Linked DNA regions of Macaca mulatta. The protein of the gene in region 2 interacts with the protein of the main gene of each other region in a biochemical or structural test. Links are inferred from orthologs where the notes say so. Each region holds a gene or a part of one and is shown on either strand. Other genes may lie near its edges.

Region 1 (7,342 bases), on a different chromosome or scaffold from region 2:
AAAAAAAAAAATTATTTGCCAAAATATGCTTAATTTTTATTGCTAAAAAATGCTAACAATCATTTGAGCCTTCAGCAGGTCATAATCTTTTTGCCGGTGCAGTCTTGCCGGGATATTGATGGCTGTTGACTGATCAGGGTGGTAGTTGCTGAAGGCAGGAGTGGCTGTGGTAGTTTCTGAAAATAAAACAATTAAGTTTGCCACAGGGACTGACTCTTTCACCAAAGATTGCTCTGTAGTCTGTGATGTTGTCTGACAGCATTTTACCCAGACTGGAACTTCACTCAATATTGGAGTCAATACCCTCAAACCTTGCCGCTGCTTTATCAACTAAGTTTATGGAATAGTCTCAATCTTTTGTTGTCATTTCAACAATGTTCACAGCATTTTCACCAGGAGTAGATCCCATCTCAAGAATCACTTCTTTGCTCATCTGTAAGACTCAACTCCCCATCTGCTCAAGTTTGATCATGAGATTGTAGCAACTGAGTGACATCTTCATGCTCCACCTCTAACTGCAGTTTCCTTGCTATTTCCACCATATCTGCAGTTGCCTCCTCCCCTTAAAGTCATCCATGAGCATTGAAATCAACTTTTTCAAAAGCCTGTTGTTGATACGGTGACCTCCCATGAATCACAGATGTTCTTAATGCCATCTAGGATAATAAATCCTTTCCAGAAGGCTTTTGATTTTCTTTGCCCAGATCCATCAAAGAAATCACCTTTCATGGCAGCTATGGCCTTATGAAATGTATTTCTTAAATAAAAGTGAAAATTGTTCCTGGATCCATGGGCTGCAGAATGGGTGTTGTGTTAGCAGGCATAAAAACATTTATCTCCTTATACATCTCCATCAGAGCTCGAGTGACCAGGTGCACTGTCAGCAATAATATTTTGAAAATAATCTGTTTTTTCCTGAGCAGTAGGTCTCAACAGTGGGCTTATATTCAGTAAACCATGTTGTACTTAGATGTGCTGTCATCCAGGCTGTTGTACCATCCCTAGAGCTCAGAGTAGATTCAGCATAATTTTTAAGGGCCCTAAGATTTTCTGAAGGATAAATGAGCACTGGCTTCAACTCAAAGTCAACTTAAAGTGACTGACATTAGCCCCTAACAAGAGTCAGCCTGTCCTTTGAAGCCAGTCACTGACTTCTCTCTAGCTGTTTAAGTTGTATATGGCATCTCCTCCTCCCAATACTGCATAAGGCTATTTTACGTACCTTGTAAATCTATCGCTTAATTTAAGAGTCACTTTCATCTTGATCTTAGCTAGATCTTCTGGAGAACTTGCTGCTTCACCTTGTGCTTTTATGTTATGGAGACAGGTTATTTACTTCAATCTCATGAACCAACCTCTACTAGCTTCCAATTTTTCTTCTGCAGCTTCCTCACTGCTCTCAGCCTTCATAAAACTGAAGAGTTAGGGCCTTGCTCTGGATTAGGCTTTGGCTTAAGGGAATGTTATGAGTGGTTTGATCTTCTATCCAAACCACTAAAACTTTCTTCACATAAGCAGTAAGGCTTTTTCACTTTATTATTCATTGTGTTCAACAGAGCAACACTTTTAATTTCCTTCAAGAACTTTTCCTTTGCATTCACAACTTGGCTAACTGGTGCAAGAGACCCAGCTTTCAGCCTGTCTTGACTTTCAACATTCTTTTCTCACTAAACCTAATCATTTCTAGTTTTTGATTTGAACTGGGTGGAGTGCAACTCTTCACTTGAACACTTCAGCCCACTGTACGGTTATTACTGGCCTATTCAATATTGTTTTGTCTCAGGGAAGAGAGAGGCCGGGAGAGAGATGGGGAAACAGCCAGTCAGTGAAGCACACACAACATTTATTAGGACGACCATCTTTTATGGGCATGGTTCGTGATGCCCCAAAATAATTACAACAGTAACATCAAAGATTACTGATCGGCCGGGCGCGGTGGCTCAAGCCTGTAATCCCAGCACTTTGGGAGGCCGAGACGGGCGGATCACGAGGTCAGGAGATCGAGACCATCCTGGCTAACCCCATGAAACCCCGTCTCTACTAAAAAAATACAAAAAACTAGCCGGGCGAGGTGGCGGGCGCCTGTAGTCCCAGCTACTCGGGAGGCTGAGGCAGGAGAATGGCATAAACCCAGGAGGCAGAGCTTGCAGTGAGCTGAGATCCGGCCACTGCACTCCAGCCTGGGTGGGTGACAGAGCGAGACTCTGTCTCAAAAAAAAAAAAAAAAAATCAAAGATTACTGATCATAGATCACCGTAATAGATTAAAATGTGACACAGAGACACGAAGTGAGCAAAAATGGTGCCAACAGACTTGCTCCCATGCAGGGTTGCTTGTAAAAAAACTTGTAAACTTGTAAAACATGCAATATCTGCGAAGTGAAACTCAATCAAGCAAAGTGCGCGGGAAAGTAAGTGTGCCTCTACGTTCTGCTTTAGCAGACACTAGGTGGCGAGCGTTATTTGAACTTTTACAGCAGGCCGCGTATCTGCTCCTGCACATTCATGGATTCGACCAACTAGGAATACAAAATACTTGAAAAAAATAACGATTTAAAAATAAAAGTAAAAAAAATCAGTATAACTATTTGCGCAGCACTTACACTGCATTAGGTACTATAAGTAAACCTTGAGATGATTTAAAAGTTATGAGAGGCTATGCATACATTAAATGCAAATACCACGCCACTTTATAGTAGAGACTTGAGCATCCGTATCTGCAGGTGGGCCTGGAACCAATCCCCTCCAGATACCAAGGAATGAATGACCATACCTGAGTGAACCTGTATTTGCAATGTTTTGGTCTGCTTAAGCCAAACATCAACTCTCACTGTGCAGTGTCACCAATACAGCTATACGAAATCAAGCTACATGTATATTCACCACTTATTTCTGTTTTATCACATTCATTAGTTCAGCCTATTTTTAACCTTCTTCCAAAATTACCCTCAATCTAATTACAAAAGCAGCGGCTAACTTTATTAAGAGTTTACACATCAGGTATTTAGCACTTCACCGGCAGTATCAACTTTAACCTTTTAAGATAAAGAAACTGCAGAGACTGCGAGAGAGGAACAAGGTCAAAGAGCTAAGGAGCTGAGAGGCCGGGTCTGAACTCGGGCCCTGCTCTTAGCCGGCTATCTTGTCTCCGCCGGCGAGTCAGGTTTCTGGCGCTTTCAACACAATGGCATTCCAAGACTTCTCGCAGCAGTTCTTCCGAGCGGGAATTCGGTGTAAAACGATGGAATGCCGAGTGCTCCTAGGTTCTCATTTCTCCCTTCGCTCTCCTCAGACATTAGAAATATCTAACGTACCGGGTAGGAAAGCACTCATGAGGTTTTCTCAACACTACCTAGGAGGAGTGACAGGTGGCACTGTTCAAAAGCCCTTTTCCTTCACTGAAGGGAAAGCCAAAATCTGACCTTTCACCTAAAGCTCCACCAACGAGTCTTTTTCCCCTTTTAACGCATACACTTTTCCCCCCTAATTCCTCAGCAGCAACTCAGGCCTTCTTCCCCAAGCTCTCACTGCACGTTCTCAAGGCTGCCAAGAAAAGAATTACTAGAAAAGAGAAAAAAGAAAGCCCGCAAAGACTCAACTGTGTGTGCTCTCAACTAACACGGCGCCGGCGCTGCCTTTACCGACGCTGGGAAGGCTTCTCCTCACTTCACGCGTGAGGGCAGGCAGCGGGCGCAGAGAGCGGCGCTCCGGGGGACCCACAGCGGGGCTCGCGGTGGAGGCCCCGCGCCCGGCTCCCCCGCCAGGCTCTCTGCCCCAGCCCCACCGGACGACGCGGGCCCGGGAGCAGGAATGCGGGACGCTGCTGACCGCCCAGATCCCCGAACTCACGTTTGTACTCGGCCATCAGCCTCTTCAGCGCCGTCCCCGCCATGGCCCCGCAACAGCTTCGCTGAGCGACCTCGCCTCAGCCGCGCGCGTCCCTCCTGCCCCGACACCGGGGGCTGCTTCCGGGTCACCGTCACGAGCCTAGGAACTCTTCCGGGGCGTGGTGCGCAGCGCGCGTGCGCAATCGCGGAAGCGCGCTGTCGGGGCGGTGGCAGTTCAACGGGCGGCAGCGGGTTCTCTCGGCTCTTGCCCCGTCCTTAGTCGCTCTGCGTGGTTGGTTCCGGTCCCGGCACAGAGGCCTCAGGGTCCTGGTCTTGTAGAGACTTCCTGAACGGTGGCGCCTGTTCTAGTGTGTGCGCTGCCTGTTCCGTGCCAGCCACGCGCTGCCGAAGGGCGGGAGGACGGAGTTTGTAGTGGGGAGGATGGAAGTTGGGGAGGGAGGGCGGAGACGAGATGGGAGGTCGCGGGGCGGTCGGGGGCTGGGAACAAGGCGCCTGAGGCACGGGTCCGCACTGAACGTTCCAGCCGCCCCCGGCCGGCCGGGTTTCAGGTTTGAAAAGGTGGGAAGGTTGGCTGTCCTGGCGCTTTTTCTCCACGTGTTGTGCGGCTCCGCTGGAGTTCGGGTCCAGCACCTTCTACTTCGAGGGAGAGAGCCGCCAGCTCCGCTGGGCAGCCTCGACACCAGGGCACCCCCGGGAGGGAGGGCGCGGCTCGGGTCCCTGCCCGAGCCCCTGGGGTGCTGAGAGACTCCCCAGCGCCCCGCGTGGGCTCCCGGCCTCTCCACAGTTGAGGATCCTGTAAGGAGCTAGCCCTTTTCCCGTAATGGCTGTACTGAGTGGGAGTGCTTTCCCGATTGACCCGCTGTGAATAGGTGAGCGATTTGAAACCACATCCTTACTTCACAGTGAGTGCTTCGTGGCTGTCCAGTGCAAGGATGTATATACACACACACCTTTGCAAAAAACGTTTGCATCTCTTGCCTGGCTGTTCGTTGCAATAACCTCTTCATTTGTCTTTTCCCTTCCAGCATTGCAGATGATCTCTGTAAAAGAAGTCTGATCACATTCACACGCTGCTCCGCCCATTTCACTCAGTAAAGCACTGCCTTGGGCCACCCCGCCGTCCTCCCAGACCCTCCCGACATCCCTCTCACTCCACTCCAGCTGCCCTGGCTTTGTTCAGAGTCCCTGACTTTTCCCACCCCGGAAACACTTTCTTCTGGCGGCTCTGGTCCCCAACTCTTCCCACTCTCTTTCAGTCTTTGCTCAAATGTTGCCTCTTCAGTGTGGCCTAGACCATCACCACCCGGCCTTCACCGCATACCTTTCTCTCTGCAACTCCTACCCAACACACCGTACTATAGAACTTACTAGCATGCTATAAATTTATTACCCTTATCTGTTGCTTCTAACCAAAACCGTGTTCCATGAGAGCCAAGGTTCTCTGCCTACTTCTGTCTTGTTTCTGGGGCAGCCTCTGTACCTGGACACCATATACTCTTAATACGGATTTGTCAAATCAAATGAAATTTAACAATGCAAACTTCACAAGTATGCATATTGTAGGAAAATTCCCTAAAATTCAGAATTTCAGTCTACCTCTATCTTTTCAAATGAACACAGTGCTTTATAAAAATGACATTGTTCTTTGAGACTGTTTCAGAGAGTAATTTGTGCAAATGCAATGTGCAAAAAGTCACAATGGAGGTGTTTCCTTCCCCATTCAAGAGCTGCTCTCTCTGTAATCAGACAGCACCCCACACCCCAAGGCGTTTCTGTCCAGTGCTACTAAAGGAAAGCAGCTCCCCTTTTCCAGTTATGGGAAATATGGGCAATAAAGCATTACTGTCAATGCCGTGATGCTCACTATAACATATGCTGGATATTTTCATAATTTTATCAATCTTTTCCAGACATCTTACTGTAGAACACTGTATGTTCTCCAATTACTATTTTTCAGAAATGTGGTTTACGGCTTCTCTCAGGATTAGCTTCGGCTTCAAGTGACAAAAGTCCAAAATATGAGTTGCTGAAATAAGATGGCAGTCTCTCCCCTCAACGGGGCTGTTACACCACCTTATCTTCAGAGAACCAGGCTCTCTGCAACATTTCTTTTCATGGTCATCGTTCAGTTCCTTGTGTGAAATTCAAGTTTAGCTGGGCATCCTGTATTTTAATCGGCTAACTCGTGCAACTCTCAACTCACTTGATCTAAGTGGCACTGGAGTCCCAGGGGTTCTGAGCAGCCAGTGTGTAATACTGCATGGCAGCACACCCTGGAGAGGCCAACTGTACAGAATAAAATTAATGCCTTCTATCTTTAGCAACTGAAGTTCTGAAATATAAAAAGGACCTCACAGCTTAACCCATGTCACACGGTGGGGCTTTCCGGTGAACATCACGCGTTTCCAGCTGGGCACTCCTGCAGCATGGCTAAGACGACAAGTTTCCTGGGAGTGGGGGTTCCTTTCGGTGCAAAAGCTGGAGAAGTTCCAGTTGGAACCCCAGGCATAGATACCAGGATAAATAGGTCCTCTCTCCTCCAGGAGCATCAATTTAACCCAAAGATTCAGTTTCTCATAATTAATGTTCTTGAAAATAGTAATCCCAACAAATCTATTTTTCCAAATGCACAATTCGCATAAATCTCAGAGAAAAGACAACCTCAAGAACATGCCTTTGCTGGGCGCCGTGGCTCACGCCTGTAATCCCAACTACTTGAGAGGCTGAGGCAGGAGGATCACTTGAGGCCAGGAGTCTGAGATCAGCTTGGGCAACTGATTTATAGTTTGGATTTGTGTCCATGCCCAAACCTTATGGTTGAATTGTAATCCCCAGTGTTGGAGGAGGGGCCTGGCAGGAGGTGACTGGGTCATGGGGGCAGATTTTCCCCTTGCTGTTGTCACGGTGAGTTCTCACAAGATCTGCTTGTTTAAAAGTGTGTGGCATCTCCCTCTGCTCTCCCTCCTGCTCCAACCATGTAAGACGTGCCTCCTTCCTCTTCTGCCATGAGTTTCCTGAGGCCTCCCTAGCCACGCTTCCTGTACAGCCTACAGAACTATGAGTCAATTAAACCTCTTTTCTTTATAAATTACCGCAGTCTCAGGCAGTTCTTCATAGTAATGTGACGATGCACTAATACAGCAATATAGTGAGACCCCCATCTCTAAAAATTTTTTAAAACATCCTGCTGGGGGCCGGGCGCGGTGGCTCAAGCCTGTAATCCCAGCACTTTGGGAGGCCGAGACGGGCGGATCACGAGGTCAGGAGATCGAGACCATCCTGGCCAACACGGTGAAACCCCGTCTCTACTAAAAAATACAAAAAACTAGCCGGCCGAGGTGGCGGACGCCTGTAGTCCCAGCTACTCGGGAGGCGGAGGCAGGAGAATGGCGTGAACCCGGGAGGCGGAGCTTGCAGTGAGCTGAGATCCGGCCACTGCACTCCAGCCTGGGTGACAGCGCGAGACTCCGTCTCAAAAAAAAAAAAAAAAAAGGC
Region 2 (7,383 bases):
ATACATATCCTGAATCGAAATACACCTTCAGAAAGAGATGAGGATATTTTGATCTTATAATGCTGAAAAGTCTATACTGCTAAAGATAAAAATGGTGAAATGTAAATATTGGTTATGAAATGGAAAATTTTTATTTCTTGTACCACTGAAGTTATTTTGTATAAACAGTATTGTCTAGCTTTCTTTTATCAAGATTTGAATGTTGTTATTTTGGTTTACCTTGGAGTACTAAGGGCAGGGACTTTGCTTTGCTGATCCCAAATCCCCAGAACTGTGCTTAACAAGTATTGGGTATTAAAAAAAGAGAGAGAGAGAGTTGTTGACTGAATAAGTAGATGAATGGATAAATAATCTTTGCATTTAAGAATTATGATTTCCAATGGCAAGAGAAGTATTGCTAGCACAAGATTTTCCTTTAGAATATAAAAAGATAAGATAATGTATCACAAATAAGTTCTTTATAAAGAAGCCTGCTTCATAATCAATGTGGTTCTTTTAAAGTCATGTAGGCATATTTACTACATCTGGCAATATAGAAACATTAGATTTTGCAGAACTATCTCTTTAGGCGTAGGATTATATTAAAGAATTAACATGATACAAGAATTATGAACACAAGTTTAGGAAATAACAGAAAAGAACCCTGACCAGTAAAAAAAAAAAAATTGTGATATTCAATTATAACATTAAAAAACACCAAAATTGTAAATATTGTGTAGAAGAAAACTAAATTATTAACTTGAATGGTTATGGTATTGCTGATAAATGCATCATCTTGACTCCTAGGAGAACCAATTTATGTGAAATTCCATGAAAAAGAATTAGTTACAACAAGCAGAATTTTAGTCTATTTCCAAGAATTTTAACTACTGTAAATCACCTGACACACTTCTCAATAATTAGGATATCATTTTGCATAACCACATGGGAACCTGGCCTAGAGGTCTATAGGTAATCTGTTTCATTCATGTATTTTAAGTATGTCGTTTAGGAATAAGTTATTAGGTTTACAACATATAAGCAAAGGAAATAATGTGACACTGGAAAACAACATTACTCATTTAACATAATGAATTGCCACATGTAATAACTCAGATCTTCCCAGGGTGTAAATTATATGAATTTGAAAGCTGCATTTATTATTTAATGCCTCATTCCCAGACAGGTGCTTACTCAGTAGCAAAATCTGCCTTAGCATACCAAGTGTAAAGCTATGTAACAAATAGGAAGGTTTAAAAAATAGATACTATCATGCAGACAGCTAAAATATTTGTATGTATTTTTAATCTTTTTTTCCTCTAATGATACTTAGAATATTTTATTTTTGTTACTACAAATAATGCAGATGAAATATGAATTGTATTAGTAGCAGAGACACATGAGCTAAAGCTTGTATTGTTTAAAGCACATCATCTTAAAAGGCCTGTCAGGAAACAGTGTTCATATTAAGTGGGCTTTCAGTACTCTAACAAGATGACATCATTTTCTAAGAGACAAGTGTTGTTAGAGTAACTGCTAGGATATTCCAAAATTTCTCATTATAGATTATTTAATGAGTTTATGTTCCCAGTTGTATATCAGCTCATGTTAAATTTTGCAAGAGTTTATGATTTCTAAGAGCTCATCTTCTGTAAGGCCCTTTGCTGAGTGGGGTTAGTTAGCAATCAGTAATTAAAGGGGATCTTTTTACCTCGTGTAAATAGCGTAAGAGTAATTTTGGGCGGTTTAGAAACGATGAGTTATCAGGAAGGTGCTTATCAATGGGCAGAGTATATCATTTGCCCAGGATTCTAACAACCTAGCCTGCCCCCCACACACTGTGGGGGACCGTCTGCTACTTGCCAAGTAATTGCCATTTTTGGCAAAGACCACCCAGGACATGGGCTCAGAGTCCATCCTAGGGCTGGCCAACCTCTGTAAATCTCGTGTCCCCTGATACGGAGCGAGTGCATTCAATTCAGGAAGATCACTTACGACTGAGTTTTTCATCATGGCTTTGACTGTGAAGCCCTCAGAAACCAGGGAGTGAGGCTGGTGCACCGGGAGCGGCTGTTGTGCCAGCAGCTTGGTCCTCTTCGGCATCTTGTCTGGGCATTTGTTTAAGCTCAGGGTCTCTTTTTCTGCCACCATCTTCCTAGAAAATGTCTTGTTCTCATAAAAAGTGTAGTAAAAGAATCAGTGGGTTTTACGGATGTGAGCAGGAGGTCGGGAAAAAAATGTCAAAAGGCGCGTTAATGGTAGAAATTCAACCCCTCGTAGTGCCCAGGTTGATCCAGATGTTTGGCAGCTCCTAGGTGAAGGGAGTTTAGGGGAGGGGTGGGGCGGGAAGAGGGCAGGACCGTAGCTAGAGCTGCAACAAGCTTCCAAAGGTAAGCCTCCCGGTTGCTAAGCGACTGGTCAACACTGCGGGCGCATAGCTCCGCCCCTCGGTGACGTACGATTGCTGGGCCTGAAGCCGGAAAGGGAGGCGGCGGTGAGCTGGAGGGCAGGAGGCGTGAGGAGAAACTACGCATTAAAACTACGACTCCCAGCAGGCCCTGGGCCGCGTACCCTCCGCGCGTGCGCATTCCTAGGGCCCGGCGCCGGGGCGGGGAGCCCTGGAAGATTTAACCCAGGAGAGCCGCTGGTGGGAGGCGCTGGCTGGCGCCGGTGCGCGCGTAGGCCCTTTCCTGGCCCGCAGCCGCCACCTGCCCAGTGACCATGATAGGTACGTGGGTACCTGCCAGGTACAGCCTCATCTGCGCCGCCCTGCGCCCCGGTGTGGCCTCGGCCGACCTGGACCCCAGGTGCCAACTGTCAGTGACGGGGCCAAAGTGCCCATGTCGTACCCGGCCCGCACCGCCGGGCTCTCCAGCTCAGCGACGCGGGCCCGGGGCCCCAGTGTGTGCGTTCCAAGCCCTCGCCCGCCCGCCCCTGCTCTGAGCGTTCCCGTGAAGACCGCCTCACCGGGGACGCCAGGCGGCCCCGCACCCCCGGTCCTCGCTCATGGTCCCCCGGACCGTGTAGGGTCCCGAAGCCTTCGCCCCGCCGCCGCCCCTCGCCCTCGAGGCCCTGGCCAGTTGTCGTGCGGTTCAGGACCCATCGAGACCCACTCTTTGTGGGGCTCTTTCAGGAAACCCCAGCAAAGCATTAAACTCTAATGGAAGGCACCTGGTGAGGGTGGCTGGGCGCCACAGAAACTCCTCCAGATGAATCTAAACTTCTTGCTCCCTCGGATGTTTCCTTTTAAACTTCTCGTTGGAGGGCTGAGGTGAAAGAAAAATTGAGAGTAAATAATAGCCAAGATTACATCTACTGCCTTTTGCAAAATAACTTTGTTTTTTTTGTTTTTTTTTGGTAAAACACAATGACCGAGGTGCAATTTTGTGAACAAAACTTAGTGGCATCAGAGTTGTTCATGAACACTTGATGTGTAAGATGAGCAAAGGTGCAAAGGTCCTCTTCCAGGGTTGTTGAACCAAAAACTACTTTAGGGGCTGTCCCTAAAAATGAATGGAAATGCACCATATGTTTAGAAGCCAGTGCTATATGGGGTTTCATTATTGTGGAAGTTTCTCCAGGTTATGTATGGAGGGTTTAGTGAGCTTGTTTAGGGCTAATTCCTGAGGAGCGTCCCTTACAAAACACTTTTGATTGCAGTAAGTACGTTCGAAGTCAGATGTGGTCTGTCCAGAAGTAAGGTGAGAGGTGGATTCATAAAATATATGATCTTTATGCACTGAAAACACGTACTACATCTGTTTTTATTTATGAAGTTATTGTTAAAATGTAAACATTCTGCCCATCAGTGGGAGAATCAAGCCAGCTAACTGGCATTGTCTTTGTCTCTGTGGTAAAACAAGAATGTTGTCCAGCCTTTCTTCCCTTTCTAGCATGGTCTGACTTTTGGTGAATGACTTGAAAGTTAACCAAATTATGAAAAAGTTATAATTTTTTGAGTTTTCTTGAGCTCTTTTTAGGTGACATTTACGTAAGATTCACTTGTAAGCACAAGTCTGAACTGAATCAGAAAACCAAGTAGAAGAGATTTTCCAAAATCCGTGCTATCAGTAGTCTACAGGAAGAAAATAGCCTATACCTTATTTTGAAGACAGTTAAATACATTTTATTTTAATTTAACTTAATCTAGTGCACAGATAATTTTAAGAGAAACAAATTTATTGTAAAGCTATATGAAGACAGGCACTTAAGATCTGGGATTAGAGGCGTAAGCCACCATGCCCAGCCTCATTAGCCACATTTCAGTAAACATCTGAATGGCCAGTTTGAGATTTGGGTGTGGTGAACAGTGCTAAAGGTAGGTGAAAGTGAAAACCATTAAAAGGAAGCCTTGGAGTGATGGGTTTTGTGTTTTTGTGACAAAAATTCAGAGCCAGGAAAGACATTATAGATTCTATCCAGTGATCAGTTGGAGATCAAAATGTAAATAGTATGTATCTGGGATTTTCTGTTAAAGGTAAGAGTGCTTCTCAAAGCTTGCTCCTTTCAGGCCTATGCTTTCTCTGTTACACTCACCTTGTTGCGGGATTCAGGAGGACGAGAGAGACCTCAGGTTGAAACAGGAGAATCTTGATCGAGTGCACTCAGGCCCAGCTGACTCACATGCAATAGACTGGGCCCAGAATAAAGACAGTACTTGACTTTTATACACACTTCACAAAAGGAGGTGGGCTAGCTTGAAGCAAACTTACAGTGGTGGCAAAGCAGGGATACAGAGGCAGGACAAAGGCAGGACTGCACATGACCATCGCCAAGCAACCCAGATGTTCGTTATCTAGGTTTCCCTGGGCACAGGCTTATCCTATAACCTTCACTGTGGTGCCCAGGCAGCTGTAGTTCAGGCCTACTCAGGCTTCTCATGACCTTCGTTGTACTTCTTAGATAAAACAGAATACTTGAAATCACTAGTTACAGAGAACAAGAGTCTATAAACTGATTCCATAAAACAAAGGAAAATTTGTTTTTCTTCTCCCTGTGTTGAGGGAGTGCTGGGAGAGTCTCCAGAGCACATTCGATAATATTATCAAGACTCTTCCTGGATCTGGGCTGTGCTGTTGCTGCCTCTGGGACAAGTTAGCCTAAAACAGGAAAACTTATTTCTTTTTCTTTTTAATTTTATTTTTCTTTAATTTCCCGCCCCAACCTTAATGCAAATAATATTCTGCCAGTTGGAGAAACGTAAAGATGGGTTTCCTGGTAGAAGAGGAGTAAACAGGACTGACTGCGACCTAACTGCTAGTGGAATGTACCTTCCTTTTACTTTCTCAAAACCAAAGATTCCCTTCTTGGGATGAGGACTGTTTCATAAGTCCTTACATTTCCCACCTGGACTGCGATTGATATGTTGAATGCCCTGACCTGGGCAGCTATGGAAACGTAATTTAATTGAAGTCGGTTAAAAATTGTGCCTTTGTGGAAGGTGTGGAGAAGGACTTCAAGATAATATAAAGCAGAATAGAAAAGCTTAAAAGAATTCAACGTAGAACAGTGTAATTTTTGGTATCTCTATTAAAAATATATTTTGACTTTTTAAAAAATGATCAGTTCTTTGTATTTAAAATGGAATGTTAGTGGTGATAATTTGTGGTATGTTCTAAATGTTCTGTAGAACTGGATTTAGGTATTTGAGTAACAGCAGATATTAGAGTGCTTGGTTATATATACACCAGTGTTGTCAGTATTGAAATACACATTCAGTGTCTTATACTTTTAAGAAGATTTTTGATTGACAAAAACCATTCATTGGAACATAGTCTCTTCTATACCTTGTTTCACTTAGCATCTCTTTGAGAATTTACATATCTGCATGTACAGATTCACTCCACAGCAGTTCCTGCCTAGTGTTTTATAGGATACACTAATGAAAATATTTACCAACAAATAAGCACTCATCAGGTTTACAGACAACTGTTATCAGAAATGTTTGTGGACATATCTTTTTACTTGCACATGTAAGCATATATGTAAAAGAGAAATCGTATGACAATTTGAGTTAAAGAGTTTGCAGATTTAAAATATTCCTAGGTATTTCAAAATTTTTCTAAAATAAGTTGCCCTATTTTACAAAGCTATCTAAAGCCTCCACGAATACAACATGGTAGTAAAGAGCTGCCCTGCCCCTCTGGCCTGAAAATTACCAAAAGACGTCCTTCCCGAGACTGACTCAGCTTTCACTAGCAGAACACCTCCTAGATCTCCAGTCCCCACCTCTCTCTCACCCTAGGTGTAGTGCCTTTCAGTGTACAAGCTGCACAACTGTCCTTGGTGGCCCTGCCCTCCCTTTCAGTGTGTATAAGGGTGCCCATTTCCTCCCATGTGCCATCAAAGATTTTTTATTTTTGCCCTCTTGACAGATTAAAAACAGCATCTTTTAACTTTGCAAATTAATTTGGAAGAAAACTTCCCATTTTCATCTTATAATGCGTTAGTTTCACAAAAGCAGATGCGGTGATTTCAGCACCTGCTGTGTACCCTTAACTGCTCTAGGTGCCAGGGAAACGAGGGAACAGAGCAGAAAAAGTCCCTTGCCATCAGGAATGTGCATTCTGACTTCACCATTTGCCCATATATCTGCATGTTTGTTTTCAAGCGTGTGTGCAGTGAATTTTAAAGTCTCAATTTATATTTCTAGTTGAATATTCTGTGTACTACTCTTTGCTCTGCCATTTTAATAAGTTGATGAAAAGCAGCTCTATGCCTAAGTACCCCAAAGCTTCTGTTTATGATGAGGTAAAATTGTGTCAAAAATAGGCTCTAATAAAGTTTTGCATAGAAGATTTTATGTAATTATATAATAGTTTTTCCTTGAGTCGGTCCAAAAGCTCTAAAATGACCCTTTGTCCTTTACAGTTTTGGCCCTATTTCTGAGGATATTTTTGAAGTCTGCATTTTTTGAAACCTCATAGTTTCATTGCCTGAAAATGATACAATGAAAGTACTTTGTATTAAGATATGTAAATCCATTCCTACCTCCAAAGCTTTTTTGAAAGATGCAGGAAAAAAAAGAGTTCTTACTTCGAAATGCTTCATATTCCTGAGAGCAGTTTTAATGCAAAAAACTTTATTCTGTTAGCTTTTAGTTCTTTGATCAATGAAAATTGCTTCTTACCTACTGTTTCTTCAGCCTTTAATTGTAGCCCAGTGCTTATTCAATGTTTCTGTTTTCATTTGCATTTAATGAGCTCATTTTAAATGTTTCTTTGTAGTAATCTGAATGGTTTCTCTCCCTAAATTTTGTAACATTAAAGAAAGAGACTCATGTGACAGTTGGCTGATTTATGTTACAGCTTCCCTCCCTGGCTGATTTACTTCATCCTGTAGGATAGAATCTTGGTTCAAAGGAAATACAGTAGCAGGATTCTTTCCCCCAGTAATTTCCTAATT
Region 3 (7,221 bases), about 87 Mb from region 2:
TGGAAAAATCAAATGATGCAAAACAGCCTGATTCCTTTTTAGTGTAGCAAAAAAACCCAAGTTTCAGAGTCAGAAGACCTGGACTTGAATCACGGTTCTTTCATTTTCTAGATAAGTCACTGAAGCTTTTTTTGAATAAGTCATTGAAGCTTTAAGAACCTTTATAAAATATATTTCAAAGTATTCAAACCAAATCAAGAAATAGATGAAAACTAGAAAAATTCCTCTCATTAACACAAAAAAAATCATATGCCAGAAAGATAATAATCTGTAGTTGAAAAAACTGAGAAGTAGATACTTGATTTCTCTGAGACCTCAATTATCTTCATCTGTAAAATAGGTATAAATAATTGGTGCCACCACTTCCAGGGCTGTTGTGAAGAATAAATGAGTTGACGTTATATCAAGTGCCTGATACACAATAGATGCTAAAAAACTATAGTCCAGACCTTGCACAAGGATGCAAATGGTGGTGGGGAAAGGGCTTGCACTTCAAACAACTTCTGGTTCCTAACTAAGGAAAAGATGAATTACACAGGTCAAGGATTGTGGTTCTAAGATGTTTTCTAAGATTCTGAAACATTTTAAACCTCATGTTTTGTAATTTTTGTTAGCTACGAAGTCGGCTTTAAGGATTAAAAAAAATCTTGAAATGAAAAACAAAGGAGTTTTCCTTAGGATCATCAAAAGTAAAGAAAAATTACCCCAAATTTGATCTGGGATTGAACCTTTACCTGATATAATTTGTAAATTTTTCTTGGAAGAAGTAAGTGTTCTAGATTTAAAAAATAAGTAATTTTTGGATAAGAAATTTTCCGGGGAAATGAGCTCCCTTCCCACCGTCAGTCAAGAATTCAGTAACCTTTAAATAAAATTACTCTTCTCTTTGTGTCTTTTTGAGACATGCTCTATCACCCAGGCTGCAATGCAGTGGCACGATCATGGCTCACTGCAGCCTGCTCCTCCTCTCCCATCCCCCAGAGCTCAACTGATCCTCCCTCCTCAGCCTCCAGAGTAGCTGGGACCACAGGTACATATGCCCGGCTAATTTTTGAGTGTGTGTATATTTTTAGTAGAGATGGGTCTCACCATGTTGCTCAGGCTGATCTCCAATTCCTGAGCTCAAGTGATCCACCCACCTCGGCCTTTTTTTTTTTTTTTTTGAGATGGAGTCTCATTCAGTCTTCCAGGCTGATCTCGGCTCACTGCAACCTTCACCTCCTGGGTTCAAGGGATTCTCCTACCTCAGCCTCCCAAGTAGCCGGGATTACATGCGCGCATCACCACACCAAACTAATTTCTGTATTTTTAGTAGAGACGGGTTTTCGCCATGTTGGCCAGGCTGGTCTCCAACTCCTGACCTCAGGTGACCTGCCTGCCTCGGCCTCCCAAAGTGCTGGGATTACACGCACGAGCCACTGCACCTGGCCGGCCACTTATCTTTTCTCTGTAAATGTCTCTACTGAGAGAAATTTTGGAATTGGCTTTGATCTTGGAGCATGATTGTAATTAAGCTTTGATATATGCCCATAATTAAATTGTTATGGGCACATGTCCACAATAAATTGTTATTGTTGTTAACCAAGGAAGGAGAGATTATTTCTACTGAACCAGTCCAGTGGGAGAAGAGCCCCAGGGAGCAGAGGAGGTGGTGGTGGCTAAAGAAGAGCCCCAGAAGACAACTGCACCCAGAGATTGATGGACCTGGAGGCTGAATAGCAAAAGGCTTCTAGTACTCAGCTATCAAATAGGAGCGCATTATATACAGCACCTGCTTTGCAGGCCTTGCTGTGGTAGGGCCTATTGCACAAATTAGGGGTTTTTGTAGAGCTGTGGCAGGAGAGGGTGTCAAGTGTTAGATATATCTGAAGATTCAACACAATGAATGAATGAAACAGCATTGGAGTTTGGTTTTGTTTGCATGTCTCAGCCAATCAGATTATCAGTTTACTATACAGAAAACAACCTCAGGGAATGGTTTAAAAGATACCATCTAATTTTAGATACCCTTCACTTTTTTCCTCCCAATTTCACCAAGAAATTCAGATTTATATTAACAATAGAAAACAAATCAAATTTAAGAGTTTTATATCTTTATATAACAGAATAAAACTTGCCCAACCTGATTAACCCTTTCTATCCGGCCCACCTTCCCAATCCCTCCCTCCTTTCCTTTCCTAAGGTAGGTTCCTACTCCTTGAGACTTTTGAACTCAGTCCTCTCTCTCGATCCCACACATTGGACAATGAAGCAGGAAGTGTGTCCTTTGAAGTTTAACCTTTCATATTTGTATGCTTTCCCTCAAATTCAATGTAATTCCTTTTTTTTTTTTTTGACAGCTTTTACATCTAAACAAACCAAAAAACCCAAAACTCCTGCAATGCCTAAAACAGCGTCTTGCACCTAACACACTACCCAAGAAAAAAAACTATTATGAATATCCAACTCCAGCCAGAGCCGTGACTCACGCCTGTAATCCCAGCACTTTGGGAGGCCGAGGCGGGCGGATCACTTGAGTCCAGGAGTTCGAGACCAGCCGGGCCAACACGACGAAACCCTGTCTCTATCAAAAATACAAAAAATTAACCGGGCGTGATGGCACACACCTGCGGTCCCAGCCACGCTGGAGGCTGAGGTGGGAGGATCGCCTGGGCCCAGGAGGTAGAGGCTGCAGTGAGCCAAGATCGCGCCACTGCACCCCAGCCTGGGCGACAGAGCGGTGACACCGTCTCAAAAAAAAAAAAAAAAATTCCTATTCCATTCCCTTATCACTGGCTTTCCCCCTCCTCACTTAACTCCCGCCCCCCGCAACAGGGACTGGATCTAAAAACAAAGCCCTTCCCAGACCCCGCGGGACCGCGCGCGGGCAGCCGGATGCGGACAGCTTTGCAGCCGGAGCCCGGCGCCCTCTCTGAGCTCTCCAGGGCCCGGGGATCCCAGACTTCGCCTACAGCGGGTAGGGCCGGAGCCGCTTCGCGCCGCGCGGTTCCTCGGTGAAACCCGCCAGCGCCTGGGGACGGACCCCAGAGGGTCCGGCGGAAGGCCGGTTTCCGGGGGCCGGAACGAGAGGACTAGGACGCCGCTCGCTCCTGCAGCTCCCCAAGCCGGCTTCGCGGGGCCGGCGGCGGCTGGGTAGGGACCGACCGCCACGAAGCTACTGCCACGTCAGGGCAACTTCACAAATCCCGGACGAGGGCGGGTGACGCAAGCCGGGCGGCCGCGACGGGGCTGGGCCTGCGGCTACCGGAGGAGGCTGACCTCCAGCCCGGGCGCCGGGTTCAGCGACGCCCCGGCCGGCGCCGGTGCCTGCCAGGCACTCAGGGAGGCGGGGGCGCAGCGGAGGAGGCGGCGCCATCGCGAAGCCAGCGCCTCGCCAGCACTCAGCCTTGCCACCCGCCCGCAGTCCGGGCTGGACTGGGCGGCATTTGCCAAGGCTCCTCGGCCAGGCCCCGTCCGCCCGAGCCGCGCTGAGACCTGGGCAGCGGCCGCGTGGAGAGGAGGTGGCAGCTGCCCGGGAGGCCGGAGCCAGGCCAGCGACCCGCCATGGAGACCCGCTACAACCTGAAGAGTCCGGGTGAGCAGGGCTGGGGCCCCTGGGCTAGGAGTGCGGAGTGACCCTGGACCCCGGGGCGGTCGCCGCGGTCCCCTCACGTCTGGCGCCACTCGCGGCTCAGCTCCTGGTTTCGCGCTCTACGCGAGACCGCCGCCTGCCCGGGAAGTGCAGGCCGCAGGGCGGGGTGGCCGGGTGGACGCCCGCTGCCAATCCCCCGGCCGGCCAGCGCCCGCAGCACCCAGCCTCCCCCTTTTCTCGTCTTCGCCCGGTCCCGTAGAGCTGGGTCAGAAACTCATCCCTGAGAACAGGTGTAAAGGTGATGTGGGTGGGCGATAGTCAGCAACCCCCTCGCTGTACCTGCATCCTGAACACCGTCGTTAATTCCCTCCCCGTCGCTGTCAGTGGACTATTAGCCTGCTGATTTACTCACATTTGAGGAGTTAGTCGTTTAAACATCCTATTTGCAGCACTTGGGCGAATGCAATTACAGACATAAAGGAAGTGTTCTGTAACTAAACCAGTTAACTGTAGAGCTAAAGCAAAACAAAACAAAAACAAAACAACAACAACAAAAAACACCTAGTTGAGCCCTGTTCTTGAGAGCTAACCTTGATTTTTGCCAGACTGGCTAATATGAAACATATCTGTCTTCAGTCGTAGGATTCCTTTCCTGCATTTAATGATCCTGCTTTATTTACACAAGCAGTCCCAGCAATACTAACCTTTACTTTCTGGTGCATTATAAAGATAAGCAACTAGCTTTCTCAGCTTAATGAAACAGGCTTGAAATAAATCATTGGATCCTCTAAATGGTATTTTTTCTATCTGTACCTTGATACATTTTGTCAGGGGGAAGAAACTCTACAGTTAACTCTGCATGATAAACTCTAGGGTATTAGTGATTTCACTAACTTTTGCGTTGCTTAACATTTCCTTCCAAAAAAAGCTGTTTCTCAGTAGGAATTAGCAAGACTAGCATCCTTATGGAAAGAGTTGACATTGTGAATCTTTGGGTTTTTTGTATGGTTTCAGAATATGCAAAAACCCCAGAAAAGCCTGAGGATATTGATTGGAGGGAGCTTTGTTAACCTGAGTGCTGTCAAGCTCAGAAATGTCCTTAGGTGACCAAGTGTGTAGAATTGGTCATAATATTTTAGGGGCCACTGACTCCTCAAAAAAATCTGATGAAGACCTGGCACGGTGGCACATGCCTGTAATCCCAGCACTTTGGGAGGCCTGAGCCCAGGAGGTGGAGAGCAGCCTGGCCAACATGGCGAAAGCCCGTCTCTACTAAAAACACAAAAATTAGCCGGGCATGGTGTTGGCGCACTTCTGTAGTTCCAGCCACTCGGGAGGCTGAGGCAGGAGGATGGCTTGACCCGTGGAGGCTGAGGTTGCAGTGAGCCAATATCGCGCCACTGCACTCCAGTGTGGGCAACAGAGCGAGACTCCATCTAAAAAAACAAAAACAAAAACAAAAAACAAAAAGAACCCCGGGGTGGGGAGGGAGGAAGAAAAGACCAAAGAGAAAGAGGGAAAGAAAAGCTTAATTTTTAAGGTAGATGGTAAAATGATTGAATTCTTTACATTGTGGTAGATTTAACTAGAACTGTTTGGGTAAAAATGTATGATGGCTTCCTGGTCACATGGTTCCTTAGGACAGCAGAGGTGCTCAGTGAAAGGTCCAGAGAATAATGCACATGTGAGTAGTAGTGCAGTTTGGAATGGAGAACTGGTGGAACCCAAGAGATTGTTGTCAGAAAACATCGCTCAATTTTGATAGGTTAGACGTAATACTATGATGATGTTTTTAAAATTCTTCAGAATTTTGTACATTTCCAAAGTATGTCAACTATTGTCAGCTGGTTGAGCTTTGGTTGACATGCTTCTAACTGTGTCATAAATTGCTTCCTTTTTTTGGTTTCATTTCCTCAAAGATAGTGTTGCGGTTCTAAAAAAAAAAACAGTGCTTCTTAAAAATCTATTTTTGTTAATGTGTGAATTATTTGGAGTTCATGGAGAAGTTGAATTAGGTGAGATATGGGACTTACTGAAAATGCTGGGAGGCATCGTGAAAATACTTCCTTCCTTTGCTTTATTCTCAGTCCTGTGTTATTTTTAGAGTAATGCCTGTGTGAAGGGGAGCAACTGAAAACTCCAGTTTCCTGCGTACGGCAGGGTGCACACACACGTAAAACACCAACCAACCAGACAAACAAAAAACAACCACACAACGGGAGAGACATAATCTTTTACTCTTTATCTGATGTGGGATTGTCTTTGATGTATGAGTGGAAAGATGAAGTGAAGACAATACAGATAGTTGGTTAAGGGCCAGTGTAGTAGCATGTGGATATAGTAAATTTGTTCATTTCATAGGTGGGGAAACTTTTTCCTTTATGGTGTTTTTTGGAATGGACTTGTGATTGTGGGTAGAGCTGTTGTGTAGGATCACCTCAAAGCCTCTGACTAACCTGTCAGTAGTTGTCTATGGATCAATTTACTTGACCCATGTTTGGGTCCGCTCTGGCCAAGGAAGTAGAGTCCTATAGTACAAAGTGAGTAGATGTGTATATAGCACCTCTTTTGGCAGCTTCTTCATCGGGGGCCATTGACATGTGCAGCAGGTGATGGGAGTATAAGAGACTGGTGCAAAAGTACCCACTGCCTCCACCAGAAGTCTAAGAGTAACCTGTGCATGCCATTGGTGTCAACTGCACCTTCACACTAATCCACTCAAGGTTTCATGTCCAACTCAGACCCTTTTCCTAAGCTATAGATACACAGAACTTATGGTGACTCAACGTCTTCATCTTTATTTCCCATAAAGCAAAAAAAATCTTTACAAGTATAAAGACGAAACTCATAGTTTTCCTCTCCTCCCCTAAACTTGCAGTTTACCCTAATATTTCATATCCCATGGATAGACAGCACTCAGGCACCTATGGGAGTCATTTTTTATTTCTTGGTCGGCTTCCTTGCTCCATCCCTGCCCTGAAACACACAACTCAACACACACACACAAACACATATGTCTAATCAGTCACTGTTGTCACCAGATCAATTAAAACAAAAAATGATTACCCCTCAAATTGAAAAATTTTCAGTAGCTTTCTGATAGCTGTCGATAAAGTTCAAAGTAAACTGCTTAGCTTGGCCTAATGATTGACCCTGGCCTTCCTCACCAGCCTCATTGTCCACATTCTTATGCTCTTTTGCATTTTCTTTTTTTTTTTTTGGAGACAGGGTCTCCCAGCCTGGAGTGCAGTGGTGCCATCACAGCTCACTACAGCCTCAACCTCCTGGGCTCAAGCGATTCTCCCACCTCTGCCTCCCGAGTAATGGGGACCACAGGTGTGTGCCACCACGCCCAGCTAATTTTTATATTTTTTGTAGAGAGGAGGGTTTCACCATGTTGCCCAGGCTGGTCTCAAACGCCTGAGCTCAAGTGTTCCCTCTACCTTGGCTCCCCAAATTGGTGAGATTACAGGTGAGAGCCACTGCACCAGGCCTGCATTTTTACCTATCCATTTTGCCTGAATGACTCTCCAGCTGGAGTAGCTTTTCTCACTTACATGCTTTGGTTCCCATTGGAACCTCTGCTTAGAATGCCTTCCTTTAAATCCATCTGAAATTCCTATAGTTCTTCAAGCTTTAAGGTTCAGCCT

What was found. The genes of interacting proteins can lie anywhere in the genome.
Region 1: the proteins of PRKN (region 2) and UBE2G2 form a complex in vitro, tested with the Homo sapiens proteins (6 studies listed by BioGRID). The link is inferred for Macaca mulatta from reciprocal best matches to the Homo sapiens genes PRKN and UBE2G2.
Region 3: the proteins of PRKN (region 2) and UBE2J1 form a complex in vitro, tested with the Homo sapiens proteins (4 studies listed by BioGRID). The link is inferred for Macaca mulatta from reciprocal best matches to the Homo sapiens genes PRKN and UBE2J1.

Annotation. Positions count from the first base shown.
Region 1 is NC_133408.1:2,722,775-2,730,116, reverse strand, and holds the start of UBE2G2 (ubiquitin-conjugating enzyme E2 G2), read right to left. Parts: upstream 3,996-7,342; 5' UTR 3,892-3,995; coding exon 3,849-3,891; intron 1-3,848. UniProt on the Homo sapiens protein: Accepts ubiquitin from the E1 complex and catalyzes its covalent attachment to other proteins. In vitro catalyzes 'Lys-48'-linked polyubiquitination. Involved in endoplasmic reticulum-associated degradation (ERAD).
Region 2 is NC_133409.1:9,423,696-9,431,078, forward strand, and holds the start of PRKN (E3 ubiquitin-protein ligase parkin), read left to right. Parts: upstream 1-2,601; 5' UTR 2,602-2,700; coding exon 2,701-2,707; intron 2,708-7,383. Other genes in the region: PACRG (parkin coregulated gene protein), read right to left, coding at 1,975-2,130. UniProt on the Homo sapiens protein: Functions within a multiprotein E3 ubiquitin ligase complex, catalyzing the covalent attachment of ubiquitin moieties onto substrate proteins. Substrates include SYT11 and VDAC1.
Region 3 is NC_133409.1:96,635,336-96,642,556, forward strand, and holds the start of UBE2J1 (ubiquitin-conjugating enzyme E2 J1), read left to right. Parts: upstream 1-3,226; 5' UTR 3,227-3,543; coding exon 3,544-3,574; intron 3,575-7,221. UniProt on the Homo sapiens protein: Catalyzes the covalent attachment of ubiquitin to other proteins. Functions in the selective degradation of misfolded membrane proteins from the endoplasmic reticulum (ERAD) and is essential for cells to recover from ER stress.